2 linked regions of the Callithrix jacchus genome follow. Each later gene encodes a partner of the first gene's protein in a complex. Links are inferred from orthologs where the notes say so. Each region holds a gene or a part of one and is shown in the gene's direction. Other genes may lie near its edges. The genes, in order: TIMM10B and TIMM10.

Region 1 (15,454 bases):
GGGCCCGCCCGTCGCACTCACCGCGTTGGAGCAGGATGCGAAGGCAAAGCCCGGACTGCGGCCACTCTGAGGGGCCCGCGGCGCTGCTGCTGCTTCCAGCGCCCGTCCGCCCGGCCCTGCTCGCGCCTCCGCCTGTCCCCGCGCCGGCGCCGCCGCCGGACCAGCCGCACAGGCCGGAGGGAGGGGCCGGGGCGGGGCTGCGGACCGGCCGGGGGAGGGGGCGACTCCAGCAGGGAAGACCCACCCACGCCCCGCCCGCCGCAGCGGAGGCCCCGCCCACCCCGCCTGCCCACCCCTACCGCACCCGCACGCCCCCACCCAACGCCCCCACCTCCTGCGGACGCTGCCTCCGCGGTGCTGCTGGGGAGCCGGCGAACCGGATCCCGGATCCCGGATCCCGGATCCCCGATCCCCGCCAGCTGCCTCCGGCTCCCGAGGACTCCGGGAATGGCGGTGTAGTCGGTCCCAGGAACTCAGATGAGACTCCGTCCAGAAAAGGCAGCTGGGGCAGCAGAGATTTCGGACTCTGGGAGCCCGTCTGGGCTGCCTGCCTCCTGGGGGCGCCCTTTCCGGCTTCCTTCGGGTGCTCCTGTGGAATATGCTAGTCTATCGGCTGACCAGGAAGACGTAGAAACCATCTGTATGTTAGCACGATCTCTGGGCGGCAGAAGGACAGTACTAAGAGCTCTGGGAGGAGTTAAGGGGTAAAAAGATGGGGGACTTGATTAGGCTGTGGGTGCCTCAGGAGCCCCCTCCTGAGGAAATTCTGGTTCAGACCATCCAGCGACTCCCTTCCTCACACCAAAGACACTAGGCAATTCTCATAATCATTGCCTTGTGCAAAAAGCAGCCCCATGTGGAAAATAATTATAACAGTTTACAGGGACTGTGTGGTTATGATGTGCGACACAGAACTAGCCACTTTACATATATTCTTTAATAGTCATAACTGTATTAGGTAATGTGTTTTATTAGCCGTTTTACAATGGAAGAAACAGGGATCTGGCTCCCCAGATGTCAGCCCTGATCACTCAGCTAGAAAGTGGCAGAACCTGGAGTTGAGCCCTGTTTTTAGGCCCTACCACCAGCATTTGGAGACTCAGTAACTTTCGTGTTGAAAAATCCCCAGTGGCCCATTAAGTGGCAGCTCATATGAGGACCACCTTCCTTGTCCCAAAAGTCAAGCTCTAGTCAGATGACTGCAGGCTGACCAAAGCCCAGAAAACTGCCTGGGAGCTGCAGTAACCATGACAAACGGCAAAGACAGGCCTGTGAGGTACCCAGTGCTATGGGAATCTGCTGAATGGGCTGTCCCCTTGCTCCAGCCTTCCAGAGGGGGAGAATCCTGAAAAATTCTGGAGTTTTCCTTGGCTAAAGGGCATACAGGTGATGACATCTGAGCCCTGACTAAACCAAAGTGCTGTTAGGAAGCTTTCTTGTGATCTCTCACACAAGGTTCAGATTTAGGCTCAACACCTGGGCGCAGCAGGAGCAGGAACTGCCTCAACCTCTTATCCACCTGAGTTCAGCACATAGCACAGGGTACTCCAGTGCTTGTGAAGGAACCCCAGATGGAGATGATGCTTGGAGTTTTGGGCTAGGGCTACTACCCAAGATGAGGGGACTGGAGTCGATAGGACACTATCTGACGCTTCAGAGGACTACTTTTCTCAACCCTATACTTCTCCCATGCAGTCAAATTTCTGCTTAAAACGTTTCACAGCTCCTCCAGAAGGCTAAAGTCCTTAACCACCTGCAGTCTTGATCTAGCCACTCCCTCTTCATTTTTCATTCCAAACAATTCCTCCTAGTTCCTACTCAGAGTTTTCATTATATGTTGGCCTCTCTGCTTGGGACGGGATGCTCTTCCCTTTACCCTGCCTGGTTGTCATCTACTCACCCTTCAGGTCTCAGCTTTCAAACTGACATCCCCATTTCCACCCCAGTCTATGCCAGATGCCTGCTTCCATTGCGCCCTGTACTTCTGTATCCTAGTACTTATCACTGTATTGTAGTTGCCTGGTTACTTTTTTTCCCCCACTAGGCCCTAAGCACTGTGCGCAGCGACTGTTTTATTCACTGATGTTTCCCCAGGGTCTAACGAAGTGCCTGGCAAATAAAAGCACTCAGTAAATATTTGCTGTATGAATGAATGCATGATGAAGGTCAGCAAATCCAACCCCCTCTGGAGTTGATGCTCTTAAGATCCATAGCTATCTTGGTGCCAGCTAAAGGACAAATAAAGCTTTGGTTCCAACTGGGGCTGGGAGAGAAGACTGCACCTTCAGACCATCTCTGAAATCTAGGACTTCAGCTACCTGGCCCCAGCTCTTTTAACTTGAGAGGGTTCTGGTGTATGATTAGACTGGGCATGTCTCCACCCAGGCCACCCTCCTAAAGCCCCCCCACAAATTGACCTCGCTGGGCCTGCTTTTATGAAAGGTTTATTCCTAGTGCTAGATCCCAATCTTCTTGGGCTCTAAGCACAATTAAACTGGGTGGGTGGGTGAGGGTAGGCCTATTCAGATGCAAGGCCAGCAATGGGGCTCCCCATTATCCCCACCCCTTTGGTCCCAGTCCCCTTCTCTGCAATGGGCATAGAGGAGAGACAAAGGGTATTGGATGCAACATCATTGGCCCAGGGGAGCCCAAGAAGAGCTGCCATTGGCTGACAGGGCATTTTGAGGCTCTGTCATTGGTCAGGAGGCACACCCCAGCCTGAGGAGTGATGCCATTGGCCAGGGAGTGGTTTTGTCATAGCCATTGGCTGTGGAGTGGAAGGAAGAGATCTGGGAATGAAGCCCTGTGGCCAGAAAGGGCAGCAGCTTCTGGGCCTGCAGGCCCTCTTCCCACCATAGCAATGTGGGCAAAACTGGTGTCAGGCCCCAGCCAGAAAAAGGAGCCCAAGCTAGAGGGCAAGTGACAAGGGAAGTCCCATGTCCAATCTCCCACACACCCTAGGGCTGCCCTTCCCAATGTCCTTCTTGATAGCCAAGTTGGGCTGGGAGCAGCTCACTGCTCCTCTAGCCAGGAGGGTTTCTCAGCTCCTGGAGGCCGCAGCTTGATGTTGAACTGCTGCAGGGTCTGCTCCAGCTGTTTCTGGTTCCCAGCAAAGTAGGCGGACACGGCATTGTGGAAGAGCAGCAGCTGCTTGTGCATCACCTTGATCTGGGGGTCCAGCAGGGTCAGCTAAGGCTGGACTCAGGCGCCCTTCTTGAGGGTCTATGAGCCTGAGCCCAGGCACAGACCAGGGGCACAAGGACTCTGCTCTGATGGTGCTTTTGGGGTAAGGGCTGAACTCTACCCCAGGGAGTCAAAGAAGAAGGGTCAGTCTGATGGAAGAAACCTCACTTGATCTGTTGGGCCTAGGGTTTTGGTACCCCAGCTAAGGGGGTGATTTTTCCCAGTAATGTTCCTGGGACCAGGAGCCAAATCCTCCAATAGGAAAGGGCCAGGAACTGGAGGGAGGGTGATGTGGAAAGGCCCAGGGGTTGAGAGGGAGCTGAGGGGGTAACATTCTACTCCCTAGCTAGGCTGCACTTCCCCATTCAATATGGGGAGGGTCTGAGGGGAAGGTTAGTGTCACAGATGGAAAGGTGGGCTAGGGTCAAGGAGGGTGGGGTTGGCACCTTGTTTTCTTCCAGGAACTTGAGCTTGATGGCCACATCTCCCCGCAGCTTCTCATACTTGTCCCGATGGGCCTGGAAAGTGGCCTGGGCACTCTCGAGTCGACCACGTGTCCCTGCATCCCGGGGGCCTAGGCTCAGCTCCTCTAAGTCTGTTCGGTAGGCATCATATTCCAGCCTGGGGAGGGGGTGATACAGGCTGGTCTCCACCCCTTTGTCTTCAACACATACTCTCCTTTCCTTCCTGAATTCTTATGCCCCTAATGCCCAAATTTCCTTCCATGCCAGCCAACTCCCCAAACCCCAAGCCCTGCCAGTGCCCACACCTGGCAGCCTCATACTGTTTCACAGTCATGAGCGTGTCTTCCATGGTCTTGGTGACCAATGTGTTGATGCTAGAGACAAAGAAGTTCACGGCTCCTAGCAGCGTTTCCCCATTCTTGCATAGCAGTTTCTGTGTCTCTGCATTGTAGCCAAATTCCTCCTGAGGAAAGGAACAGGCCTTGAATAACACTCTCTACTAGACTGGAGCTGTAGAGTCCTTCATTCCCCTCCTCCCCAGGGAGGAAATAGCCAGCAAAACTGGAACAACCAAGGACTGCCTCCAGCAAGGCTCTGTTAGCCAGAAAGTTAGTGGGGTCACCCTGGGGATACCTGGGGTAGGAATGTGGGTGGTGGGCATTCTTGGATAAGTTCACAAGACTGGAACAGTCTGAGAGCTAGTGTGCCAGGCAGGGGAGGGGCTCTGATTAGGTGAGCACTGAAGGCATTCTCCCCAATGCAGAGAGGGGTTATTTGTGAGGCACCTAGTGTGCCCCCTCCCCCACCCCCTCCAACTTCTGGATCTCTGTACAAACCCTTAGGCTGCCTCCACAGGTGAGTGCTGCTGGGGGTAGGGCTGGGCCCACCCTGAAGGGGTTCTCCCTGTGGGCTGCAGGAGGGAGGGAGGATGAGGAATGACTGCCTGAGAGGGCCCGTGCCCAGTTCCCCCACCCTCTTTGGTCTGGCTGAGGCACCTGAAGCTCTGGGGACTTCTGGCTGAGGTCAGCAAAGGCATCACCCAGTGCATGCTGGGTCTGCAGCAGGCTGTAGAGGTGGGCTGTTAGTGCCCGGCCCAGCTGCAGGACACTCTCATACTTGCGCTTCGTCTCACGCAGCAACTCAATCTGTAGCTCTAGCTCCAGGTCCACAGTCCGTGAGCCTCGACCAAATCGTTCTGATAATAGTTGCTTTGTGCACTGATTGGGAAATGGGGGAATAGGTCAGAGACCCTAATAGCCTCCCCACACAACAATATCTATCCCAGCACCCCCAGGCTCCTACTCTCAGCCACAGATGAGGTATTTATGATCATGAGAAAAAGGGAAAAAAGGTACCCATAAGGAGTTTTGGGGAAGGGAGAGGTGCTTAAATTCTACCTTATAGGTGTTGATGCCCCATTTCTTGACAATGTCAAACTTCTCTCCAGCGATGCCCCGAGCCACCTCATCTCCAGGGCCAGCAGGAGTGGTGCTGTGAGATGGATGGCGGCCAGACCCTAAAGGATCAAGTTCTCTGACACCAGCCTCTCTTAGACATATGACACCTCTGTGGCCCCACCCATACTTCTCTCCCAGCACATGAAATTGACTTCCCTGAAGGAAATGCTAAAGACAACTGGATTCTACTGCTTACTAGGAGGAACTCGAATCTTGCACGGTGAGAACCAAATCCTGGTATATATATGACTTCCTTAGGGGTTGGAGGAGGGGTTTGCAGGGAGTTGCTGGTGTACAGGGGCAGAGGAAACAGAAGAAAATACACCGACTTTGGGGGTAGCAGGAGTAAAGGATGGTGGATCATGCTAACAAGAAACCTGGTTGCATTCCCATGTGGAATCTTAGTGTGAGATTCAGGACTGTTTGTTCCTCTAAACTTTAGAATCTAAAATAAAATTCTGAGAAGCCTCACAAAGTTCCAACTCAGCCTCAAGCTGTAGAGTAGGGCATTCCTGTGAAGTAGGTCTTAACTTTGCTCAGGTGGTGGCAGAGAAAGGACAAATGAGCCATTTCAGGGGCCAAATAGCAAAAGGGAAGTGGATGGACAATGCTGGGAGTTGCTCTTGGGCTGAGGAGAGTCCATGGGGTTCATACAAGCAGAAGTTCCCAAGATATCTAGACATAATTTAAGCTTTCCTTGACATATCCTATGCTTCCCCAAACCATTCCTGTCCCCTCCTCCACCCAAGCTTCCTGTTTCTGAACATTCATACCTGTGGGGATGAGTCCATCACCAGAGCCCCCATAGCCACCAGACACAATGCTGGTTTCATTGAGGTTGGGTCCTGACACCATCACCTGCTGGAGGTCCTATAGGCCAGAGAAGAGGGATTGCTTCAGGAACATAGGTGGAGCAGAAGCATTTTGGAGGTGGGAACAAGTTTGGATTCAAGCATCATAAAGTCAGTATACAAGGGAACTCTGCACAGAATCAGAATGATATGTAAAAAGAATGGAGTCAGATAAGTCAGGGGAAGGCTACTGGAATCGGGGGTGAGAACCCAGGGCTTAGAAATTGGATTCCTAAATTGAAACAATTAGAAAAATCAAACAGAAGCACCTGCTCCAGCCCATCATCTTCAGGAAGCTGCCTGGCTTCGCCGTTCCCGTGGATAGGGATCTCCATTGTGGCTGCCTTCCCTAGGATCCCGTCCGTCATGGCTAGGGAAGGTATTGGAGTAAAACTCTCCACCCCAGCACCCTGCAAAGCCCAACACAGAAGTTCTGGACACCGGCCAGCACTCTAGAAGAAGGAGGCCCCCCCTGTCATTTCTGAGGTTTCAAAGGCTGTCGCAGGGTTTGAGTGTCCCAGCGTTTGGCCACCATTCCTTTCTTCAGGTGTATGTATTTCTCCCCTCCAAAATGCACATGTGTACATAGGCACACCAAAGCACTGTGTCTCCTCACAAGTCCCCAGTCTCACCAGGACTCTGGTGATTATTCATATACTCATTCAGTCATTCAGCAGACATTTAGTGGGTGCCTCCTATGTGTCAAGCACTATTTCTAACAATTAAAACACAACAGTGAAGAGGGAAAGCCCGCTCTCTTAGAACTTATCTCCATGCAGGCGTGCTTATGCTGAGCCTTTCCAGGGCTCCGGTCTTCACCCCCCCGCCCAATTCAGGTTTGTTCTCCATTGCTTGGCCTTTCACACTCCTTTAGTGTTTCTTCCCCCTTCCTTCAGGGGGTCTCCCCCTCCTCTGTCTCATGCACCTCCTCTTCCTCGGGCCCTCCCCACCAGGCCTTAGTTAGATCAGTTGATGTATGTTCCCAGTCTCTGGTAAAAGCCTCTCTCCCAGGATAGCGGTGATCCCTTCCACAGTCAGTTATGTCTCTCAGGTGTGTGAGTCCCCGCCCCCACCCCCATACACCTGGACATCAGGTGTGTCCTCATCCTTCCCCAGGGCTCGAGGCATCTTGCCCTCTGGACAGGTTTGTGCGTTCAACTTCCCGTCGCCCAAGCATGTCCCTCTCACCTCGGGCCGGGCCGCTCTTCCCCTCAGGGCGCCAGGCCCGGGCCGCGCGGGGACCTCGGGCTCCAGTTCCAGTCGCGATCCTAGCAGCAGGTCAGGGACTCGGCGGAAGTGACGTCCTCTCCGGGCAGAAGAAGCCGGCCACGTCGCAGATTATAAGGGCGGAGGTGACGTCGCAGCCGCGGGCAGGGCGATGCTCGAGCTAGTTCTCCAGAGCGGCGAGAGGTTCCTTCCGGGGCGGCACCGAGAAGCTGAAACGGAAGTGGCGTAGGGCATGCGCCGGTGGCGTGATGGAGCAGCAGCCTCAGCAACAACAGCAACTTAGAAACGTGAGTGAGAACTAAGTCGTTGCGGGGCCAGAAGTTCAGCTCGCATTCCTGCGCACATCGCGGGAACCCCATGGAGCCAGGGATTTGAGGGCTGGAAACATCGGGCTATGGTGCGCGGGCCTGGGAAACTATGGGCGGCGAGACCTTGAGTAGAAGTGTGGTCTCCCTTTTCTCCCAGCTGCGTGACTTCCTGTTGGTCTACAATCGGATGACAGAACTCTGCTTCCAGCGCTGTGTGCCCAGCTTGCACCACCGAGCTCTGGACGCTGAGGAGGTGGGGCACTGTGTAGGGAAGTTACGCTACAGATAGTTTAGCAGTAGACTGCTTCCCTCCTCTCCCCACTTCCCCTATCTCTGGCCCTGGCCTTTTCCACGGCCCTCACCCCTAGGCTGGGCATGGGGAAGGAAGGGGGCGGGCCTGACAGGAAAGACACCTTTACCCTCCTCTTAAACCCTGTCTTCCTTCTAGGAGGCCTGTCTGCACAGCTGTGCTGGGAAGCTGATCCATTCCAACCACCGCCTCATGGCCGCTTACGTGCAGCTCATGCCTGCCCTGGTACAGCGCCGCATCGCAGACTACGAGGCTGCCTCGGCTGTGCCAGGCGTTGCTGCTGAACAGCCTGGGGTCTCTCCATCAGGCAGCTAGCCATCCCCAACCCCACGAGGGAAGGCCCTGGACGGACTTCTCTGATTGAAGGACCCCAGTGGACCTTGGGGTTGGTGAATCCTATACAGAGAGAATTCGAGGTTGCCTGAAAGCTGGGTGTCCTTGCTCCTTTTCCTCGAGCCAATAAACCCGCTTTTTATTCTGTTTGATTTATATTCTGGGCAAGGAAGCTTTGCCGACTTAATTGGCACAATCCTTTGTTCTGTCATTTAGTGCATATCCGCTGGCTTCAGCCCTGGCAGCTGAGGAATTTTCTTCTATATGTAGAAGGAAAACCTGAGCATTTGTAGGCATCTGGTTAAAGCAGGCTCTATGTGTACAGTTTTAAGATGGGTACTATGTCATGCTATACCTTAGTTCATCTTTACAACAAAACTATGAGTAAGAGGTATTAGCCTTATTTAACAGATGAGGAAGTAAAAATCCAGAATGTACCAGAAGGCCAATTTATACAACAGGAAATTGGTTCCTGCCCAGATGACAGGAAATGGGAGCTCTGTCTAGTTGTCCTTAAGTCTGACTGACTTCAATGGCTCATAATCATGAGCCAAGTATTTGTTGGTTCATAACTGTTTTGTGAACTATGTCTTACATGTCTAGAATTCTGCTGGATCTAGGAAAGAAGAAGCTATCTAAGTACAACCTGTCAAAAAAAAAAAAAACCACAGGGCTCTTGGGTACTGCCTTCTGGAGAAGTTAGTGGCCACAGAAGAGAGATGAAACCTGTAAGAAGTCTGGGAACTTCAGCCATTTCCCCAGCTTGTTACTTCCTTAGTATTTACAGTATTCTCAAGATGAGCAGTAAAACCTTTGAACAAAGAAGTCTGTGCTTGTCTTCAGGGGCAATCAGGAAGGGAGAAAGTTGGCACATATTCTGCAATACAGCCAAATCCGAGGGAGAAACTGAAGGGCTAAAGGGACAAGTAGATAGCAGTCGTTGTGATAAAAAGGATAAAACTAAATATTTTTATTTAGTTTTATTTAGCATTATTCCTTCATGCTACCTTAATGTTTCACTGCTTGTCTAGAATTTCCTAATTCCAGCTTTCTATCATCTGCCCCATATTGGTCCCATGGTGTATGTTCTGTGATTTCTAATTCCAGCCTCTCCATTCTTTTCTCGTTATTGCCTCCCCCGCCTCCCACCTTTGTGTAATTTACTTCTGTATTCAGCAGCCTTAATAGCATACCATTCCATCACCCCATTTTCTTGCCATCATTGGCCATCTTTTTGTATCATTCTGCTTATTCTGTCTTTTCTGTTCCTCCAAACTACTAGAGTAAAACAGTTGTGTAATGAATGCCACTAAATATTCAAGGCCTCCACCCTCAGCCAAGTCCTCACATCTACACGCAGTCCTTTACCTTTATGGGTTTCTGGTCCATTTCCTTCTTTAATTACCATGGCAGTTATTTTATACCTTCACTGCTGTCCTTAATTGCATACCCCACCCTCATCAAGTGACCCTGTTTCTTTTTTTAAAAGAATGGAAGCTCTTAGACATTGGTTCCACAGTAATAAATTTTAAAATTTCTTACAACTACCCACAAAGCAGATGTTCTATCCTATCTACAGAGCAGAAAATTGAAATTCTCAAGTAGCAAGCCCATTATTAAAGTGCAGATCTGACTTTAAAGTCCATGTTCATTTTGCACACCAGGCTGCCTCTTAAGATAGTATTTATTGAACACCCACTTTGTATAGGTTCTGATTTTGGTAGATGTCATGCTTTATCTTAATCTTTATAACACAACTATAAGAGGTATTAGCCTCACTTAACAGATGAGCAAGCAACAATCCAGAATGTGCCAGAAGACCCTTTTATAGACAGTTCTTGTTTTTGTTTTTGATATGGAGTCTTGCTCTGTTGCCCAGGCTGGAGTACAGTGATGCTATCTTGGTTTACTGCAACCTCTGCCTCCCGGGTTCAAGCAGTTCTCCTGCCTCAGCCTTCCAAGTAGCCTGGGATTACAGGCATGTGCTACCATGCCTGGATAATTTTTTTGTATTTTTACTAGAGACGGGTTTCACCACATTGGCCGGGCTGCTCTGGATCTCCTGACCTTGTGATCTACCTACCTTGGCCTCCAAAGTCCTGGAATTATAGGCTTGAGCCACCATATCCAGTCTATATACAGTTTCTTATTGAGAAAAAATAGTTCGAATCATGTTTTTGCCCCCTTTAGCTGCCATCTCTTGAACAGAAAAGTTTGTTCTGAACTATTCCCTCTATACACAGTTTCTTATTGAGAAAAAATAGTTCCAATCATGTTTTTGCCCCCTTTAGCTGCCATCTCTTGAACAGAAAAGTTTGTTTGGATGGTAAAAGTTGCTGACCAGGACCTTACCCACGGAGTTGCTTTCTATTTAATGAAATTTCTGTCCTTGGGAAATATAAATGCAAGTAAAACAGGTTGTGAACTTCTTAACTTCCAGAAGACAGGAGGATGGAACCTGTGATACTGTGCTGCCAGTGGGAGGACTCTTCCACATCAACATTTTTGTGTATCCTTGCAATAAACTTCCATTGTGAATATTTGTGCTTCTCGTCTTTCCATGTCATATGATAGTAACTGCTTAAGAAGAGCTAGGAACATAGATCTGTTTGACTCTAAAGCCTTTGCTCTTTGGACTTTGAGAGCTTCTATCTGCGAGCTCATTTGTACTTAACCTGCCTCTAGGCATGAAAAAACAAATGTCCCTCAACCTTACCCATCAGTTAATCCCTTAAAATTTCAAAATCTTTTGTCCTGGTTCTTCCCTGTTTATAAATAAGTTCACGTGTAGGAGAAAAACCTTATTCCTACCATTCTGACTTGCGTATAATCTGGTATTCCTCAGGTCTTGCCATAAAGTGATAGCCATTGGCATAATGAGAGCAAGGTGATATTCCAAGCACAACATTAAAGAATAAATGTTGACAAAGCTTTATCATGTTATTTATCCCGTTATCACAAACATAAACATTGGAGATACTTTAGTGTTCCTGCCATTGTGGCTTGAGAACTTCTCAGTCTTTTGAGGCTAGTCATGCATACAACCCTCTCATTACTTATCTACCACTCTCATTTACTACAACTCTCCTGCTGCTTTACTATAAATAGCTAGCTCTTGGTCTTCCTGTCCACTCCTTGATATTTTAATATTTTCATAGACAATTTATTTGGTGTTTTGTCTCAGTTCTTTGGCCCAATCTCTGATAGTTTTCACTATGTCTTAGCCATTCACTCCCTTTGTCATATTTTGGCCATTTGTCATGACCTCAAACTGCTCGATCTTCAAAATACTTGCATCTTATTATTGACCATATTCCTTCCACTTGGTTTATTGAACTATTCCCTCTGCAGTCTCTGATTTCACTGCAGCCAATGCTTCTTTCCATTAGCTCCTTCCTTCTTTACATTCCTAGATAGCTTAAACTAGTGATTTGCATACAATGGGCTGAATTTCCTTGCCTTTCATCTCTTGTTTTGAACCCTTAAATAAAGTGAAACTTGTCTGTGCCTGCATTTGGACAGCTAAATGCCACCCAAGGAAACTACTGTGGAGCAAATTTACACCACTATAAATCCATGGTTATCAGCTTCAAATGTCTCAGCCCCATAGTCCTACTAGATTTTTCTAGTCATTTTTACTTATCCCAGCAATTACCATTTCAAACCATATTCTTAAATCTGTTATTACCCCCCACCCCACCACCATTATCTTTACTTTATGCAAGTAACTCTTTCTTCATAGACGAAAGTTGCAGCTATCGGTAATTCCCTCAACATCCCACAATTTATTTACCCACATATATGCATCATTCTCTTTCATCTAAACAAGGCAAGTATACCTCTTGTCTAAGGCCAGTGCCTATTCCTGTGCTCAGAATCCTAGTCCTTTTCTCTGAGGATCTTTGACTTACACTTTACTGAATTCTTATCAGTGTTTAAACATGCTAAAGACTCCCCTGTTAATAAACCATAAACCACTTTGTACCTCATTTCTTTTCCAGTTACCCTTCCATCTTTTCTGCTTTACAGTTAAACTTCTCAAAACAGTTGGATAGTTTGGGCCTCTTCATCCTACAGGTCATTTTCCATTTCCATTCTTCAAACCAGTTCATTTTGACTTCTGCAACCCTCATTCTATTGAAATGGTTCTAAGGTCACCTTGGTGATGACCTTCCTATCTTGAATCCAGTAGTTATTTCCCAGTCCTCACTACTCACTTCTCAGTAGCATTTGGTAAAATTTTCTAGCTTCTTATTGTTGATACTCTTCCATTGGTGCCTGGTTCTACTTTTACAGTTTTACTACTACCTCTTTGACCATAGCTTCTTAGCCTCCTTTGCAGGCTCATCCTCCTCCTAGCCTTTAAATCTAAGATTTTCTTTAGGTCCTGTTCTTCTCAGTCTAATTGTTCTAGGACAGTTTCATTCCCACTCTGAACTTATTTCCTGATGACTTCCAGATCTCCTCCAAGCTATTTGACGTCTCCACTTAGGTATCTCAAAAACATCCCAAACTCAATATGTTTCCTAATAAACTATCCTGTGCCTGGTACTCATCATCCAGTTGCAGAAGCTCGAAGGCATTTCCCTTTTTCTCCTGTCACTCAATTGCCAAATCTTATCAGTTTACATTTCTAAATATCTCTTGGTTCTCACTACCTTTCTCCACCTTTACCATGATCTCCCACCACGATTATTGCAGTTGCTGCTGCTTCCTATACCCACTTTTGTACCCCTTCAATCTATTCTTCACTCCTAAGCCATAAAATACAAACTAATGCTTAACCATTGCAATAGCTTCCTATTCTTACGATAAAAACAGATTCTAAATATGACCTGCAATGCCCTGCATGATCCAGCCTCTGCCTATTCCCAGCCTTATCAGTAACTATCAAACATTGGCCTGCCAGGACTGTTTGCTGAATCGATTCAAGTCATAATTCACTGTTTCCCTCTGTCTGTGCTCTAGCCACACTGGCCTTCTTTCACTTTCTCTAACTTGTCATGTACTAGTTCATCTCAAGGCCTTTGTATGTGCTGTTTCCTGGCTTACAATGCTTTCCCCCTTTATCTACCTTTCATGCTTGAGATCCTAGTTATTATTTCCTCAAAGAACTCTTCCCGAGACTCCAGCTCCCATAATCCCTTATGCTTTTGGTGTATCACACTCTTCAGTATGTTTTTCAAGTTTTACTTTGAATTATGTTAATTACAGCATTTGAAAGGGAGAATCTAATTTCACACAAAATAGAAGACTCTAAAATATACCCATTAAACTGCTAAAAAATAAATTCAGTGGTGAGAATACAGCAGAAGTCCAATTTAGATTCTGAGTATTGTCACCATGTGTTTCCTCCAAGCTTATATCTGGAGCTCCTGGAAGCCATTTCATACTCTGGTGGAGGGGCACAAAATCACAGCATGAGAAGGAATTAAATCCTGAATTACTGGCTTCATCACATCCACCCCCTCCACCCCAAAATGGCGCAAAAGAAACAGTCACCACACCCTGAAGACCTTTGGTTTAAAAGAGGTATTGATTAACTGGGTTGGAAACAGGTCATGAAGATCTGTCTAAAAGAGTCCCTTTCAAGTGAGTTTGCACACACATCAAGCAACAAGCCTCTCATTAATTAGGGCTAGGAAACCAAGGTTTGATTCTTAGGAAGTCACAATTTCATTCACTCAATATGATTTACAAAATGCCTACATATCAGCTTCCACTTGTAGTCATTTCTAGATAAAAAAGGAACCTGGCATCTCTAGAAGGGCCACCAAATTCCCCTTCCAAGTGTATAACTGAAAGGACCATTTTTGGAACTGGGTTTCTTTTATACCTCTGAAAGGGTAACACTTTAAAGCTGAATTATCTTTAGCCTGTAAATCTAACATCTTTAGCCTATAAATCTAACATTTAGCAATGCTTGCATCCCGGACATACAGTAAAAGAGACAAATTCGGAAGGTAGCTCTGCTGCAAAATAATGTAAAAGTATTGTACGGTATTTATGCTCAAAACTGCAGTTCCAAACCTAGCATGTGGCCACTGGCATTGTCATTCGTGCCATCCAGGACAGTTGACAGTGTCATTTTGATACCTGGCTTTAGGGTCTCAGTTTATTCTAAACCTATTGGGTTAGAGTTGTTCACTTAGCCAAGAAGCAGGTGTCCGGGTTGATCAGATATTTGAATATTCCAAAGTGAGTGTTTGTATTAGTCTGTTTTCACACTGCTGATAAAGATATATCTGAGACTAGGTCATTTATAAAGGAAAAGGTTTAATGGATTCACAGTTCCACATGGCTGGAGAGGCCTCATCATTATGGTGGAAGGCAAAAGGCACATCTTACATGGTGGCAGGCAAGAGAGAAAATGAGAGCCAAGTGAAAGGAGTTTTCCCTTATAAAACCATCAGATCTCATGAGACATTCACTACCACGAGAACAGTACAAGGGAAACTGCCTTTGTGATTCAATTATCTGCCACCAGGTCCCTCCCCAACACATGGGAATTATGGGAGCTATAATTCAAAATTAGATTTTGGTGGGGACACAGCCAAACCATATCAGTGTTACTGTTTCCTGCTGTCCAGGTGAAATTGACAGTGGTCTTCACCTTCTTATTCACCTTCTGTTAAATGGAGCCACCAAACTGTCCCATTGTTCACATTATTGTGAAACTGGAATTCATCAGACTTGTAGCCAATTGCAAAGTTGCTCTAGGTCATTCAGGATTTTGCAGTCTCAAAATTTACCTGGTAGCCAGCCAACCCTGTAACCCAGCACCTGGGTGCCCCAGATTGAAGGCCCAGCAATGTCAAAATCCAGGTACAGCCTAGGTTGATGTGCTCCTGCTTGTACCTGGACTTGATTTTAGCATTTTCCCCCCAGTATTAGGTGACAAGGATGAATGAAGGGTCAGCTTCAGACCACTTGCAAGCTAATCTTCCACAGTAATCTCAGTCCTAGTGTGTTGTATGTTTCACTTCATAAACATCAGGCCATACTGAGTTTATCTGTACTTGGTCTCCAGACTGCCTGTCACTTTGGTGGTTTCCATGTTGGCTGAGCCTAAGCTTACAAATGCATTCTCAGTTTGTTTTCAGATCAAGTTTTATTAAGCCATATGCATAGCCCTTGGTGAAGACATTCCTGGCAGGTTTGCCAAGATTGGCATACTTGGGTGGCACAGCCATCTTCTGCTCAGAGCCAGTGGTGGTAGGGTTGGCGGCAGCTGTGATGGGGGATTCATTGATGAGGCATGGAGCGGAGCAAGCAGCCGGTGTGTAGTGCTTTTATACACCTCATGAAGTCAGAGTCCAGG
Region 2 (15,763 bases), about 43 Mb from region 1:
TGCCCAGCCCTGTGCCAGAGCAAGATCCTGACGGAGCCTCGAGGGCCTTTATCAGTGAGACAAGACAGAGAGAACTGAATGCCAGTGAGATGATAACAAGCCCTTTTTATACCTCAAAGTGTGACACTATTTGGCTAAGACATAGCTGAGTGCTCCAGTCATCTTTTCTTTTTAAGAGACAGGGTCTCATTCTGTTGCCCAGGCTGGAGTGCAGTGGTTCAATCATAGCTCACTGTGACCTCCACCTCCTGGACTCAAGTGATCCTCCCACCTCAGCCTCCCAAGGAGCTGTGACCCTAGGTGTGAGCCACCACACCTGGCTAGTTTTTTGCTTTTTATTTTTTTATAGAGATGGGGTCTTACTATGTTTCCCAGGCTGGTCTCAAACTCTGGGCCTCAAGTGATCCTCCTGCCTTGGCCTCCTGAAGTGCTGGGTTTATTTATAGCCAGGAGCCACCGAGGCTGGCCACTCTTTCCTTCTGTCTACATGCTATATACCTAGGGTGGTGGAGGGGAAGGGTAGATGTACGTACACACACGCGCGTGCACACACACACACATGCATACACATCCCTCGGCTATCCTGCACGTTCATCACCTCAGCTTTCCACCCTCCAGGCTTGTCATAAATAGGAAAGGAGTGAAGATACTCAGAAATGCTGAGAAACCGGGATGCCACCCCTACCCCCAGCATTCACAGCCCTACAGCAGTTGACAGCTTAAGCTGCGGGGCCCTGCTTTCTCTCAATGGTTTCCAGCTCTGACCCTTCACAATTGGTTATTGGCCCCATTAGGGAGCCAGTAGGAATCTGAGGCTCAGGGAGTTGACATCCCTTGACAAAAGTCACAGGACAAATAGCCTAGCCCTATCTAGAATCCAAGAGTCCCGACTCCCCCTCTACAACTCACACCAAATACATGCTCCCACAAGCCCCTCGGCCCAGTGTCCCTCCAAAGGCCCCGGCCCAGAGTGCGGGCACCCCACGAGTTGAAAAGGGCAGTCAGATTCAGCTGAGGAGTTCCTCTCTCTTTCTTCTGGGTGCACAGTAGGTCCTTCATGAACGTTTCTCCACCCCCACCTTCCTTTCTTACTCTCTCCTTTCCTTCCTCCTTCCTTCCCCAGGAAGCCTTCAGACTATCCCTGTTAATGTGTCCAAAGCAGCACTGCAGATAACTCCCCTCCCTCTCTCTTCCTGTTTCTTTTTTTTGAGACAGAGTTTCACTCTTTTTGCCCAGGCTGGAGTGCAATGGCGTGATCTCAGCTCACTGCAACCTCCACCTCCCGGGTTCAAGTGATTCTCCTGCCTCAGTCTCCCTAGTAGTTGTGATTACAGGCATGTGCCATCACGCCCGACTAATTTTGTATTTTCAGTAGTGACGGGGTTTCATCATGTTGGCCAGGCTGGTTTCGAACTCCTGACCTCAGATGATCCTCCTGCCTCGGCCTCCCAAAGTGCTGGGATTACAGGCATGAGCCACCGTGCCTGGCCTTTTCTTGCTTCTTCTGGTAGCCCAGGATGAAAGGGACATGGGAGCTCAAGTTCCAAACCCTTAGAAGTATAAATGCTGGATGTTCTGTGATGCATCCTCCACCCACTGCAGCCTCATCTCTCATTCATTTGTCCTAAGGCTTCCACCTTCACCCAGCCAGAGGTCCTCCCTTGGAGAGGCTGATCTCAGGGGTGTCCAATCTTTTAGCTTCCCTATGCCATTCTGGTAGAAGTAGAATTGTCTTGGGCCACATGTAAAATATATTAACACTAGCTGATGAGCTAAAACAAAAATTGCAAAAAGAAAAAAATCTCATAATGTTTTAAGAAAGTTTATGAATTCATGTCGGGCCACATTCAAAGCCATCCTGGGCCACAGGCGGCCTGTGGGCTGGACAGGCTTGGCTTAGACAGTCTGTCCCAACCCAGCTTGACTCTCAAGACTCCCAAGGTCCCCTCCCCTGCTCTGAGGCCTCCTCATGGATGGTCACCTGCAGGCTGCTCTGTAGGTGATCTCAAGGTTGCCCAGCTCCCCAGGGTTGAGAATCCTGGCATCTAACGAGAGTAGACATCGCGGTGGAGAGAATTAGAAAGGAGCCTAGATTTCTCCAACTGGGGGGCCCTTGGAAGGTGGGAGGGAGAATTGGCAGATGGAGAGGGACCCTTAGAAAGGAGCCCAGGGCTTCTCCTACCTGTGGGGCTTCTGCCTGTGGCTCGGGAGCTGTCTCTTTCCTCCAGCTGAGCAGCCTCACTCCAGGCTGCCTTTAAGCCCCAGTGGCCTCTAGCCCCCAGCTCTTTGGTCCCGCCTCCCCTCTTCCTCTCCCTCTTCCACCCCACCCCACCCCCACTTCAAGTGGCTTGGGCTGCCTGAAGAGCATTGTTTACTGCCCTGTTGGTACAACACTTTCCCCTAGACTGGGAGGCTCGGATTTCCCATGGAAGATCTGACAGGTGGCACCTTTCAATCACGGCATGTCCCTCCCGCCCTGAGCCTGGCAGCATCCGTCCCGTGGTCACCTTTCTTCCCAATGGACTCTCCTAACCCTAGAGACCTTAACAGCTGTCTTCAGGACCCACGTGTAGCATGACCCTGGCCTCCGCTGCTCATCCAGAGCCCAGGCGAGGCCTCCCGGGTTCCTTCACACTCACACCGCCAGGTTCCTTACATAGGCCCTTTCCCTCGTCCTGAGACAAAAGCAGCTGCTTAAGGCTGGGCTAAGGAGGGGCTGAATGGGGCAGCTGCCGACACAGGGATGTGTCTCAGGGCTCACAATGGACGGAGAGATTTGGAGGAGGAGGGGCAGAGAGGGCAAAAGTGATGGGGCAAGCTGACGGGTCACTAGATGGAGTCTGGAAAACACAAAACTCCTGAGTTCTATTCTGAGCTGAAGTGGCAGGTACACAGTAGGCCCTGAACACATTTTTATACTGAACTGACATTTTGCAAAGAAAATACAAAACAAGCCCGGGCGCAATGGCTCGTGCCTATAATCCTAGCACTTTGGGAGTCCGAGGTGGGTGGATGACTTGAGGCCAGGAGTTCGAGACCAGCCTGGCCAACACAGTGAAACCCTGTCTCTCCTAAAAATATAAAAATTAGCTGGGAGTGGTGGCACACACCTGTAATCCCAGCTACTCAGGAGGCTGAGGCAGAAGAATCACTTGAACCCGGATGGAGGAGGTCACGGTGAGCTGAGATTGTGCCAGTGTACTCCAGCCAGGGCAACAGAACAAGACTCCTTCTCAATAAACAAAACAAATCAAAACAAAAAACCAGGCCTTCACTTTCTGTGTGTTTTATGATCTAAGAAAGCCACTGCTTTTGGAGATTGGGTACAGGGGATACTCTTACTACTACGAAGCTTGGGACCCCCCAATCCTCCTCCCCGACTCCCCACCACTAGGCCACACTGGCCTCCTTTCTATTCCTTAAATAAATCTATCCCTTTTCAGACTCAGGACTAGTTTTTCCTTCTACTCTGCAAGACTGGCTCCCTCTCATTCTTCTGGACTCAGCTCAAATTTCATTCCCTCAAGAGGTCTCCCATGACCTTCAATTCCTCTCCATCATTTCAGCTGTTTTTATTGTTCTCATCATACTAAATCTAAAATTACTTTATTCTTTTCCTTATAACCTGTCTGGCTCATATTAGGTGCTTGATCAATACATACTGATGTATTGATCAGTACATTAATTAGTTCAACACATAATGAACTAATTAATTAACAGACATATGTGACAGGATGGCCGGGTGCGGTGGCTCACACCTGTAATCCCAGCACTTTGGGAGGCCAAGGAGGGTGGATCACAAGGTCAGGAGTTCAAGACCAGCCTGGTCAAGATAGTGAAACCCCATCTCTACTAAAAATACAAAAATTAGCCAGGCATGCTGGCGGGTTCCTGTAATCCCAGCTACTCAGGAGGCTGAGGTAGAGAATCTCTTGAACTCAGGAGGTGGAGGTTGCAGTGAGCGGAGATCAAGCTACCGCACTCCAGCCTGGGCAACAGAGCAAGACTTCGTCTCAAAAAAAAAAAAGAAAGAAAAGAAAAGTATGTGATAGGAACTTGGAGGCCTTGTGTGGGATGATCTAAAAGAGAGATCTTTTTGTGCATCCAGGTTTGGGTACTAGTGATCGAACAGTCCAATATTAATGGTTGCTGGCTGCTTCTAGTAATACTCAAAATCCGGCTGGGATTATAGGCATGAACCACCATGCCTGGCCTATTTTTCTTTTCAATATCTAATGACAGCAGGGCAAGATAAATGAATTTAAACAAAAAAGAGCCCAGCAAGCCAGAGAGAGATGTGGAAGAACTCGCCAATCTGGGGCAGGTGCACTGTGGATGGGTGCTGTTTTGAGAGTAAAGTGAAGGGGAAGCATGGAGAGAACTGGGGAGAGCAGCCAGGAGACAAACTCAGTGGCCCTGGTGCACGACGGTGGTGGCTTGGACCAGTGTCAGCCGTGGAAGTGAGAAGAAGTGGTGGGAAGCAATGAGAGTGCAGACAGTGAAACAGGGAAACTGCAGGCAGTGATAAAGCCAGGGCCAGCTTTTTCTTCAAGTGAATAGGATGACGTAAGCCATTCCATCACAAGGGAGGTCACAGGAAGCCTCTGTTTTTGTATTCTCTGCACCTCTCATGAGTGGTCAGGGCCAACTTGAAGTGAATCTAGGTGAAAACTCTGCATCTCTTCTTCTGGGGCTGGGTCCCATCTGAGAGGGCAATACGGACCCAAGATGAATGAAAAATATACAACTCACCTTTGTGAAATTGGGAAGAGGTAGAATTCAGGGTAGACGGAGGAGCCGGAGTTGCAGCATGGTGTTGAGAGATCCGCAGTTTTGGATGACATATCTGGAGGTCTAAGGATATCTTCAAAGTCTAAGGCTAAGTTGTCTTCTACAAGAAGGAGGTCAGGCCAGGTGCACTGGCTCACGTCTGTGATCCCAGCACTTTGGGAGGCTGAGGCGGACAGATCACCTGAGGTCGGGAGTTCGAGACCAGCCTGACCAACATGGAGAAACCCTGTCTCTACTAAAAATACAAAATTAGCTGGGTGTGGTGGCGCATGCCTGTAATCCCAGCTACTTGGAAGGCTGAGGCAGAAGATCGCTTGATGTTCTTTAGGGAAAACTGAGGAAATACAGTAAAAAAAAAAAAAAAAGAAAGAAGATCGCTTGAACCTGGGAGGCAGAGGTTGCGGCGAGCTGAGATCACATCACTGCTCTCCAGCCTGGGCAATAAGAGCAAAACTCCATCTCAAGAAAAAATAAAACAAAAAGCAGCAACTCACTGGGACCATGAGAGATTCCTACCTGTAGGTCCCCACATAGAGGAAAGACACAATCGCATAGTAAATAACTATAAAAATAACAATAGCATTACCATCAGTAAGACAATGGTTGTCCAGAGGCTGAACAGTTGGGGAAATGGGGAGTTGCTCTTCAATGGGTATAAAATTTCAGTTACACAAGATGAATGAGTTCTAGAGATCTGTGTACAAAATGGTACATATAGTTAAAAATACTGTATTATGCACTTAAACATTTGTTGGCCGTGCACTGAGGCTCACGCCTGTAACCCCAGCACTTTGGGAGACCGAGGCAGGTAGATCATAAGGTCAGGAGATTGAGACCATCCTGGCTAACATGGTGAAGCCCCGTCTCTACTAAAAATACAAAAATTAGCTGGGCATGGTGGTGTGCGCCTGTAGTCCCACCTACTCAGGAGGCTGAGGCAAGAGAATCTCTTGAATCCAGAAGGAAGAGGTTGCAGTGAGCCGAGACTGTGCCACTACACTCCAGCCTGGCGAGAGAGTGAGACTCCGTCTCAAAATAGAAGTGTTAGGCAGGGCCCAGTGTGGTGATGCCTGTAATGCCAGTGCTTTGGGAGACCAAGGCAGGAGGATTGCTTGAGGCCAGGAGCTTGAAACGAGCCTGGACAACATAGCAAGATCCTGTTTCCACAAAAAAATTTAAAAACCAGACAGGCATGGTGGCTTGTGCCCGTAGCCCTAGCTATTCAGGAGGCTGAGATGGGAGGATTGCTTGAGCCCAGGAGTTTAAGGTAACGGTGAGCTATGACTAGGCCTCTGCACTCCAGCCTGAGTGACAGAGTGAGACCCTGTCTCAATAAATAAATAAATAAATAAAAAGGATTTCTCTGTTAGAAATAAAAATGGACGAAGAAAATATGGACAAAGGTTAACAATTGCTAAGTTCTGGTGATGAATATATGGAAGCTCAATGTCCTGTTCTCTCTGCTTTTCCATATGTCTTAAATATTCCAGCTTGGCATGGAATGACTCATGCCTATAATCCCAACACTTTGGGAAGCCGAGACAGGAGTATTGTTTGAGCCCAGGAGTTTGAGACCAGCCTGGGAAACATAATGTTGACTGTATTTTCTTTTTTTTATTCTTTTCTTTTCTTTTTTTTTTTTGAGTCAGAGTTTCACTCTTGCTGCCCAGGCTGGAGTGCAGTGGCGTGATGTTGGCTCACTGCAACCTCTGTCTCCCAGGTTCAAGCGATTCTACTGCCTTAGCCTCCTGAGTAGCTGAGATTAAAGGTGCCCGCCATCATACCTGACTAATTTTTTTTTTATTTTTAGTAGAGATGGGGTATCACCATGTTGGCCAGGCTGGTCTTGAACTCCTGACCTCAGATGATCCACCCGCCTCAGCCTCCCAAAGTGCTGGGATTACACTTGTGAGCCACCGCACCTGGCCAATGTTTACTATATTTTCAAAAGCAAAACCCAAGGCAAGATACGTCTATCTGTACAAGAGTATGACAGCAGCATTTTTGCATAATAGGCAAAAACTGGAAACAATCCAAACATCCATCAACAGGAGAATGGATAAACGAATTGTGGCATATTCATACAGTCAAACACTAGACAGCAATAAAACAGAAGAAATAACAGATACACACAACAAAGTGGAAGAAATCTTACAGGTAAATTGAGCTAAAGAACTCAGGCACAGGCCGGTGGGGTGGCTCACACCTGTAATCCCAGCACTTTGGGAAGCTGAGGCGGGTGGATCATGAGGAGGTCAAGAGATCGAGACTATCCTGGCTAACATGGTGAAACCCCGTCTCTACTAAAAATACAAAAGTTAGCTGGGAGTGGTGGCACACCCCTGTCATCCCAGCTACTCAGGAGGCTGAGGCAGGAGAATCGCTTGAACTGGGCAGGTGGGGGTTGCAGTGAGCCGAGATCGTGCCAGTGCACTCCAGCCTGACAACAGTGAGACTCCATCTCAAATAAATAAATAAATAAGAAGTCAGGCACAAAATAGAAAATAATGTATAATTCCATTTACCTTAAGTTCAAGAACAGGGAAAACTAATTGATGGTGATACAGGTCAGAATAGTGGTTAACTTCGAGAGGGAGTATTGATGGGGAAGGAACACTAGATAACTTTTTGGGGTACAGGAAGCATATCCTGATCTGTGTGGTGGTTATATGAATGTATATATATATATAAGCTTTAGAGTTGTGTATTTTATGCACTTCATGAATGTTATACCTCAATCTTAAAAAATCGGGGCACAAGGTTTGACAAAGATGAGTCTTCAGAGCAGTAGGAAGGTCAGCTGTTTAAAATCAGGATGGTCCTGGACAATTAGAGAAGCATGTGACGACCATACATATAAAATGTCTAGCCCACCTTTTCCAATGGGCAATGTACCCTTGAGTCATTAATTTACATCTTGTAAATTTATTTTACTAGGAAATTGTGTGACAAATCAAGGGACTGAGTGTTGTTTCCTTCTTTTTAGTGGGCAATGAGCGAATGGTGCAGTTTGAGGAATACATTAAGTCTTGAAAGATGAGAAGTTCACCAGTACCCTCCTTCTGCCTCACCCAAGATTAGTCCTGGTGGCAGCCTAAATTGCGTTTATTAATCTTTTTATGGCTCAGGGCCTCTCACTGTTGAAGAAAACGTATTTCACACGTCTCCTCTTTCTGTAAGCAGGAACCGTATCTCGCTTATCTTTGCAACCCAGACAGTGTTAGTGTGATCTACACACAGCAGTAATCGCACAACGTCCTATGGAGCACTGCTTCTCAAATTTGGCTGTACAAACGAATCACCTGGGGAATTTTAAATTGTACTGATACCTGGGTCCTACTCGCAGAGATTCTGATTTAATTGAAATGAGGCGAGTCGTGGGCACTGGGATTTTTAAAAGCGTTCCAGGTGATTTTAACGCGAAACAAAAACTGAGAACCGCTGTTGGGGGTGTTCTTCCGTCTCCACGCCTGATTTGTGGCTGTCCCGGACGGGGGTGAGGTTCACTGATATCTGTCGCCACACCTCTTCCTACAGAACCAATAAACTGAAAACTCTCGGTGACAACCTGAGACTTGAATTCTGATCGGGCCGCAGGCGCTCTGCACCCAGCCCAAGCCTCTATGGTACTTTGGCGTCCCCTCTAGCACTGGCAAATCGCCTTCCTCTTCGCCCGGCGCCGCTCGCTCCCTTTGTAAGATCGCCGAGTTCCCGGAGCCGTCTCGTTGGTATTTCATTCCGGAAGCGAGTTTGGAGCCAAGAAGAGGCGGGACTTCTCTCCCGGAAGTAATCCACGTGCTTCCGCTGGAGCCTTCTTGGGAGGCAGGTAACGTTATAGTATTTGTAAGGTCTCCGTGGGCATTGTGATCCGTCCCAGGTAGTGGTGAGTGATCCGTGACTTCTGAATTCAATGTGTCCCTGATTATGGCGTCACCATTTCAGAAGTGCATCCTTTGGGCCGGGTCCCGGTCTCCTCTGTTCAGCGTATGATCTCATTCCCAGGGCCCTGGAGGTTCAGGCCTGGGTTAGAGCGTTCTGAACCGGTCCTCGATCTTCTGAATAGAGATGACCTCTAGGGACTTGGGTATCAGAGATCCAGGGCTCGATTTCCAGGCTCGCCGTGAATGTCCCGTGCGACCTTGGACTAGGCCTCAGTTTCCACATCCGTGAAATGGGGTTAAGCTAGGTTAAGCTCACTGAGGTTAGTGGCCCCTGGTGGTCTGGCGCCCTGTGAGTCTTTTGGATCCTCTAGCCCCGGGGTAGGAGAGTGAACGACGGCAGTGGGTGATGACGGTGGTGTCTCCTCCCAGGATTAGGAGGCCAGAAGGAGATCCCTTCCAGGGTGCTAGGCCAAGATGGATCCGCTCAGGGCCCAACAGCTGGCCGCAGAGCTGGAGGTGGAGATGATGGCCGATATGTACAACAGGTAAAGAGAACCATGTGCTACACTGTCTTGGAAAATAAGCCTTGGCCACCCTTTTCGAAGGTGAATGACTTATAACAAATTTCATCCTGAATGTAGGGGAGCGAGAGACCCATGCTTACTCTCACCATACCCACCTTCAAGGTTGATTCTAATGCAGATGCAGTAAAGGGTCACTAGAATATTTAGATGGGGATAGAACTGGAGATGCGGGAGCCAAGCAGGAAGAGAAACTCCAATTCAGGCTCTGGTTAGGTTCCAAGAAAAGCTGAAAAGCTGAGTATTTGCTTTTTGGCAAATAGCACATAGCCAGCCCATTTAGTAGTTAACATTTTAAAGCCCTTGGCCGAGGCAGTGGCTCATGCCCGTAATTCCAGCACTTTGGGAGGCCGAGGTGGGCAGATCACGAGGTCAGAAGTTCCAGATGTCTGGCCAACATGGCACAATCCCATCTCTACTAAAAATACAAAAATTATCCGGGCATGGTGGCAGGCACCTGTATTCCCAGCTACTAGGGAGACTGAGGCAGGAGAATCACTTGCACCCAGAAGACGGAGGTTGTGGTGAGCTGAGATTGTGCCACTGCACTCCAGCCTGGACAGCAAGAGCAAAACTCCATCTCAAAAAAACAAAAAACAAAACCCTTTATTCTGTGTCAGTCACTTGTTAATCTTCAAAATAATCCAGTGGGTTAATTTTATTAGTCCCATCTTAAAATGAGGAAATTGATGCTTCTAGAAGTTAAGTAACTTCCTCAGAGTCCGCAGTTGGTCAGTAACAACACCAGAACTAGCACCTCAGTCTGATTCTGCAACTAGTGCTCATAATCATTTGGCAAATTTGGGAACAAATCCCGGCTCCACCAATCACCAGCAGTGTTCTTGGACGTGTTACTTGCACTGTTTGACAATTGGTTTCCTCATTATGAAAAAGACATAATGATACCTACCTCATAGGGTATTATATATATTACATTTAAAAATTTCTGAAAGCCCTTAGCCTCAAGTCCAACACTTAGCAACAGTGAAATATCTGCTATTTTTATTGACTTAACCTCTCTTGATTGGTTGGTTTACCCTGAAGGCTATAAATTAGGAAGGATTTTTAAGTGTAGGAAGTGAGGCCAGATGATCTGTGTTCATATTTTAGCTCTATGTGATTCTTAGAAAATTACCGAGCCTCTCTTGGCTTAATTTCCTCATCTGTAAAATGGGGATAAGTATCTCTTAGGGTGATTGTAAGGATTGCATAACAGAATGCATGTAAAGCACTTAGCATGATGCCTGGCACATAGCCAGTTTAACAAATGCTTTCTGCTTAATTAGTCATATACAGGGGCTCAGACAAGTGTCCTGCTTGCAAGGAGCTTCCAGTGGTTGAGGTGGAAACTGAGGATTTATAGTGCTTTCTTGGGGAAGGTGAAATCAATATAGCAGGGCTGGGATGGTCGAGGGTTCCTGGGATGTCACAGGATGCTGCTGACATGACCTTGCCCCTCCCTCCCTCCAGAATGACCAGTGCCTGCCACCGGAAGTGTGTGCCTCCTCACTACAAGGAAGCAGAGCTGTCCAAGGGCGAGTCTGTGTGCCTGGACCGATGTGTGTCTAAGTACCTGGACATCCATGAGCGGATGGGCAAAAAGTTGACAGAGTTGTCTATGCAGGATGAAGAGCTGATGAAGAGGGTGCAGCAGAGCTCTGGGCCCGCGTGAGGTCTCAGTCAGTATATACCCTGGGCTATATCCCACCCCTCCCCACTCGAATAAAAGTGCCCTCTGTTGGGTGTCATCTGTGAAGACTGCCAGGCCTAGGCTCTCGGTAGAGTCTTCAAGATCCCAGAGTGGTAGTGCTTTCTCCTGGTGAAGGAGTATTTGTCACACTGGAATGTGACTGTGTGTGAATGTATGTGTGTGTGTATATATATATATATATATTAAAACAACTTTGTTGACACCTACTATGTGCAAAGCAGTGTGCTTGGCATTTGAGAGTAAACAGAGAAAACCTCACAAGCAGAGAGGAGACTAATGTAGTATTTTAAGAGTAAGACAGTCCGGCATGGTTGCTCACTCTGTAATCAGCACTTTGGGAGGCTTGGGGCGTGGGTGATCACTTGAGGTCAGGAGTTCAAGACCAGCCTGGCTAACATGGCAAAACCCCATCTCTGCTGAAATACAAAAATTACCTGGGTGTAGTGGCATGTGCCTGTAATCCCAGCTACTTAGGAGGCTGAGGCAGGAAAATTGTCTGAACCTCAGAGGTAGAGGTTGCCTGAGTCGAGATTGTGCCACTGTACTCTCCAACCTGGGGGACAGAGCAAGACTCTGTCTCCAAAAAAAAAAAACAAAAAACCAAAACAAAACAGGAAGACAGCTTCAGTTTGCCTGCTTTCTGCTGTTTTTTATGTGGCCCTGAACCTGTCATTTTTGCCTGCTTTCGCTTCTTCATCTGTAAAACGGTTAGTCAAACATGGTTAGCCCTTTGACTATCCCTGTTTTACAGATGAGGAAGCTGAGGATTTAAGAAGCATGTTGCTTGCTTGAGTTCACACAAGCAGAGCAATAATATGGAGGCCAGACCCGACTGCTACTGCGTTTGCTGTCTCACCGAGGAGCATCTTCAGAGGACTGAGCAGTTTTCAGAATGTGTAGGTCTCCAGATGGGACTGTGGTTGACATCAATGCCACTGTGACAGTAGTACCTTCAAAGTTGGCCTTCCTGGCGAAAGTGTCTGGGATGTAACTAGGTCATTGACATAAAGGAGATAGAATAGAGGCAGTGAGTTTGGGGCTTGTGAGTGCAGGTTCAAGCCAGACTATGTAACTTTGAGTTTCTACTGAAATTTTCTGGTAGTGTGATCTTGGGTGAGGCATTTTAACTGCCCTGTGCCTCAATTACCCCATCGTAAAATGGCAGTAAGGTTACCTACCTCTTAGGAAGTTGCAAAAATTAAACGTGTTAACAACCAAAGCACTTAGGAGAGTGCCTAGCATACATTCAGTATGCAGTAACATTAGCTTTTTTTTCATTGCTAAGTTTGGTGGGAGGTGAAGATGACAGATGTAGTGGAAAACTTCAAAGCCGTTGCTCCTCTTAGGGGTAGAGAGCAATAAAGCTCTTTCTAGGTACTGAAGTGCAGCTTTTGGTCAACAGGTGGCGCTGTCTGCTCATGGTCAGCGCTGCTGCGGACAATTTCATACGTTTTATCATTTGCCTATTCTTGGAAGAGAGGACCGGTGAAGAAAATCGATATTATGTATGCCCTCAGGTTTAGCAAAAAACATCAAGAATTTGTTTAGAAAAAAAAAATCCCTGGAACATCTAGCAGGGATGGTAGAAGGGATGAGAGGTTCCAGCTGGAGGCAATGGCACTTGCAAAGGTTTTGTTGAAGTGGCTTTAAGTGTGGAGGTGGAGCCTTCCAGAAAGGAGAGCTTCAGCTTCAGTGTGGCTGGAGTGCTGAGTGTGAAGAGAAGTGAAGAGGCTTGGAGGCTGGGCAGACTTAGCTCCAGAAGAGCTTGGTGAGCTGTGTTAAGGAGTTTGGACTTTCTCCTACTGAGGGCAACAGCAAACTATTGAAGAGTTTTAATCGTTCGGTGACAATGACAAGTTTGCATTTTGGTGGCTCACTCGAGCTGCCAGCCAGGTAGACGGGGGTAGAAGAAGGTAGATAAGGGACTAAAGGGTGATGAGGCAGGAAGCCAGAGAGCAGAGAAGGGGGATGATGTGAGTGAAAGTTGATAATTTATTGAGTTGCTATTGTGTGCTCAACTCCGTGCTAAATTCTTCACATGTATTATTTCAGATAATTCTTCTAACAACTTTAAGACAGCTATGATTGTTCCCAGGTGAAGAGGCTGAGGTTCTCAAAAGCTAGTAAGTTGCCTAAAGTCGTGTAGCCTGCAAGTGGTGGAGCCAGAATTCTAACTTAGACACCAGAGGCCACTTTTAACCACTTCTCTAGGACTGGGGGGAATGGTCCTTAGTGAGAGATGTGTCAAGTTTCATATTTCACTCAACAGTATTTATTACTGGCCTGCTACGTGCAAAGAGCTCTGGAAAGTGCTCAAAGTGAATTAGTTAGATCCCTACCCTCCATGAGCAAGCAGGGTGGGGGTGCAGTGGACAGCAAGAGGGCTGGAACACACATAAAAGGGTATAAGAAATAACAATTAGGCTGACCGGGTGTGGTGGTTACACCTTTAATCCCAGCCCTTTGGGAGGTCGAGGTGGTTGGACAACTTGAGGCCAGGACTTTGAGACCAGCCTGGCCAACATGGTAAAACCCCATCTCTACTAAAAATACAAAAATTGGGCTGGGTGTGGTGGCTCATGTCTGTAATCCCAGCACTTTGGGAGACTGAAGTGGGTGGATCACTTGAGGTCAGGAGTTTGAGACCAGCCTGGCCAACATGGTAAAACTCCATCTCTATTAAAAACACAAAAATTAGCTGGGCCTGTAATCCCAGCTACTCAGGAGGCTGAGACAGGAGAATCACTTGAACCTGGGAGGCAGAGGTTGCAGTGAACCGAGATCTTGTCATTGCACTCTAGCCTGGGGAACAAGAGTGAAACTCCATATTAAAAAAAAAAAAAATAGCTGGGCTGGTGGTGCACACCTGTAATCCCAACTACTCGGGAGGCTGAGGTATAAGAATCACTTGAACCCGGGAGGCTGAGGTTACAGTGAACTGAGATTGCACCACTGCACTCCAGCCTGGGAGACAGAGAGACACTGTCAAACAAAATAAAATGAAGTAGGTACTTTCTGCCATAGGGAGGAGTCATAAACTGCTAGCCCTCAGGTGTATTTTTGCTTATCAGTTTTAAAAATCAAAAAATGTCTCAAAAAATTAGGAAGTTGGCTTCTTTTGAAATTTTGGGCTGGGAGCCGTGGCTTATACCTTTAATCCCAGCACTTTGGGAGGCTGAGGCGGGTGGATTACCTGAGGTCAGAGTTTGAGACCAGCCTGACCAACATGGTGAAACCCCATCTCTACTAAAAATACAAAAATTAGCCAGACATGGTGGTGTGTACCTTAATCCCAGCTACTTCGGAGGTTGAGGCAGGAGAATTGCTTGAACCCCGGAGGCGGAGGTTGCAATGAGCAGAGATCGCACCACTGCACTCCAGCCTGGTTGACAAGAGCAAAACTCCATCTCAGAAACAAAAAAAAAGAAAAAGAAAATTTGGAAGATCTGACAACAGTTGACATGCATTCCTGCCTGGCGTCAGCCTGATGGAAGATGGGCAGAGGCTCAATTGTCTGCCAAACTTCCCACCACTGGTGTCTTCCCTCCCTGTCATCATCTGCTTGACCTGTAGGCATTTGGTTTGTGCCTTCTGCTCTGGGTGCCCAGATGAACTGGATGCTCTATGAGAAAACATGCTGTAAATGTTTTGTGGTAGGCAGCCTGGAAGATCACTGGAGCCTCCAGTGATCCCTTCTTCCTGGTATTCATGCCTGTGTATAATCCTCTCCCTTGAGTGTGTACTAGACCTAGAGACTTGCTTCTCATAAACAGAACACAGCAAGGGTAGTGGGATGCTACTTCTAAGGTTAAATTACAAAAGAGTATAATGTCTGTCTTGGGGGTTTCCCTCTCTTGATCTTGCTCTCATTCTCTCTCTCCCTCTCTCACTGTCTTGTTCTTCCCTCCTGTTTACCCTGATGAAGCAAGCTAGCAAGCATCCATGTTGTGAGCTGACCTCTCAAGAGGCCCACGTGGTGGTAAGGAACTGAGGGAAGCCTCCAGACAGCGAGGAACTGAAGCACTCACCACATGAGTGAGCTTGGAGGCAGAGCCTTCCCCACTTGAGCTTTCAGATGACTGCAACCCTGGCCAATGCTTTGCAGGCTTGTAAGAGACCCTGAGACAGAACACACAGTTAAGCTGCACCCTATCTCCTGACCTAGACAAACTGCGATAATACATGTAGTTTTAAGCCACTATATTTTGGGATAATTTGTTACTCAGTAACAGATAACCAACTCTTGCAGTTGTCTAAGATTATATTTAGTCATTTTACACGTACACCAAGAATATGCCAGGCACGGTTTTAGACCCTTGGAATACATCAATTAACAGCACAAGTAACGAGGCCAGGCACAATGCTCACATCTGTAATCCCAGCACTTTGGGAGTCCGAGGTGGGAGGACAGCTTAAGCCCAGGCGTTTGAGAACAGCCTGAGCAAAATAGTGAGACACCATCTCTACTAAAAAAAAATTAGGCCGGGCACGGTGGCTCAAGCCTGTAATCCCAGCACTTTGGGAGGCCGAGGCGGGTGGATCACGAGGTCAAGAGATCGAGACCATCCTGGTCAACATGGTGAAACCCCATCTCTACTAAAGATACAAAAAATTAGCTGGGCATGGTGGCGCGTGCCTGTAATCCCAGCTACTCAGGAGGCTGAGGCAGAAGAATTGCCTGAATCCAGGAGGCGGAGGTTGCGGTGAGCCGAGATCGCGCCATTGCACTCCAGCCTGGGTAACAAGAGTGAAACTCAGTCTCAAAAAAAAAAAAAAAAATTAGCTGGGCATAGTGGCAT

What was found.
Region 2: the proteins of TIMM10B (region 1) and TIMM10 are in contact, whole or in part, in a cryo-EM structure (PDB 7CGP), measured with the Homo sapiens proteins. The link is inferred for Callithrix jacchus from reciprocal best matches to the Homo sapiens genes TIMM10B and TIMM10. Residues at the interface, in NP_036324.1 of Homo sapiens: Gln7, Leu11, Leu14, Arg15, Phe17, Leu18, Leu19, Tyr21, Asn22, Arg23, Met24, Thr25, Glu26, Cys28, Phe29, Val33, Pro34, Ser35, Leu36, His37, His38, Arg39, Leu41, Glu46, Leu49, His50, Ala53, Gly54, Ile57, His61; in NP_036588.1 of Homo sapiens: Ala6, Leu9, Leu13, Glu16, Met17, Asp20, Met21, Arg24, Ala28, Lys32, Cys50, Asp52, Arg53, Cys54, Ser56, Lys57, Tyr58, Asp60, Ile61, His62, Glu63, Arg64, Met65, Gly66, Lys68, Leu69, Leu72, Asp76.

What each region holds. Positions count from the first base shown.
Region 1 is NC_133511.1:72,162,667-72,178,120, forward strand, and holds TIMM10B (mitochondrial import inner membrane translocase subunit Tim10 B), read left to right. Parts: upstream 1-7,393; 5' UTR 7,394-7,430; coding exon of another isoform or gene 7,431-7,469; 5' UTR 7,470-7,599; coding exon 7,600-7,743; intron 7,744-7,938; coding exon 7,939-8,115; 3' UTR 8,116-10,671; downstream 10,672-15,454. Other genes in the region: ARFIP2 (arfaptin-2), read right to left, coding at 3,013-3,168, 3,630-3,804, 3,953-4,110, 4,484-4,864, 5,045-5,163, 5,878-5,974, 6,225-6,323. UniProt on the Homo sapiens protein: Component of the TIM22 complex, a complex that mediates the import and insertion of multi-pass transmembrane proteins into the mitochondrial inner membrane.
Region 2 is NC_133511.1:115,093,933-115,109,695, reverse strand, and holds TIMM10 (mitochondrial import inner membrane translocase subunit Tim10), read left to right. Parts: upstream 1-8,579; 5' UTR 8,580-8,613; exon of another isoform or gene 8,614-8,674; intron 8,675-8,768; exon of another isoform or gene 8,769-8,992; intron 8,993-9,101; 5' UTR 9,102-9,146; coding exon 9,147-9,217; intron 9,218-10,723; coding exon 10,724-10,925; 3' UTR 10,926-11,168; downstream 11,169-15,763.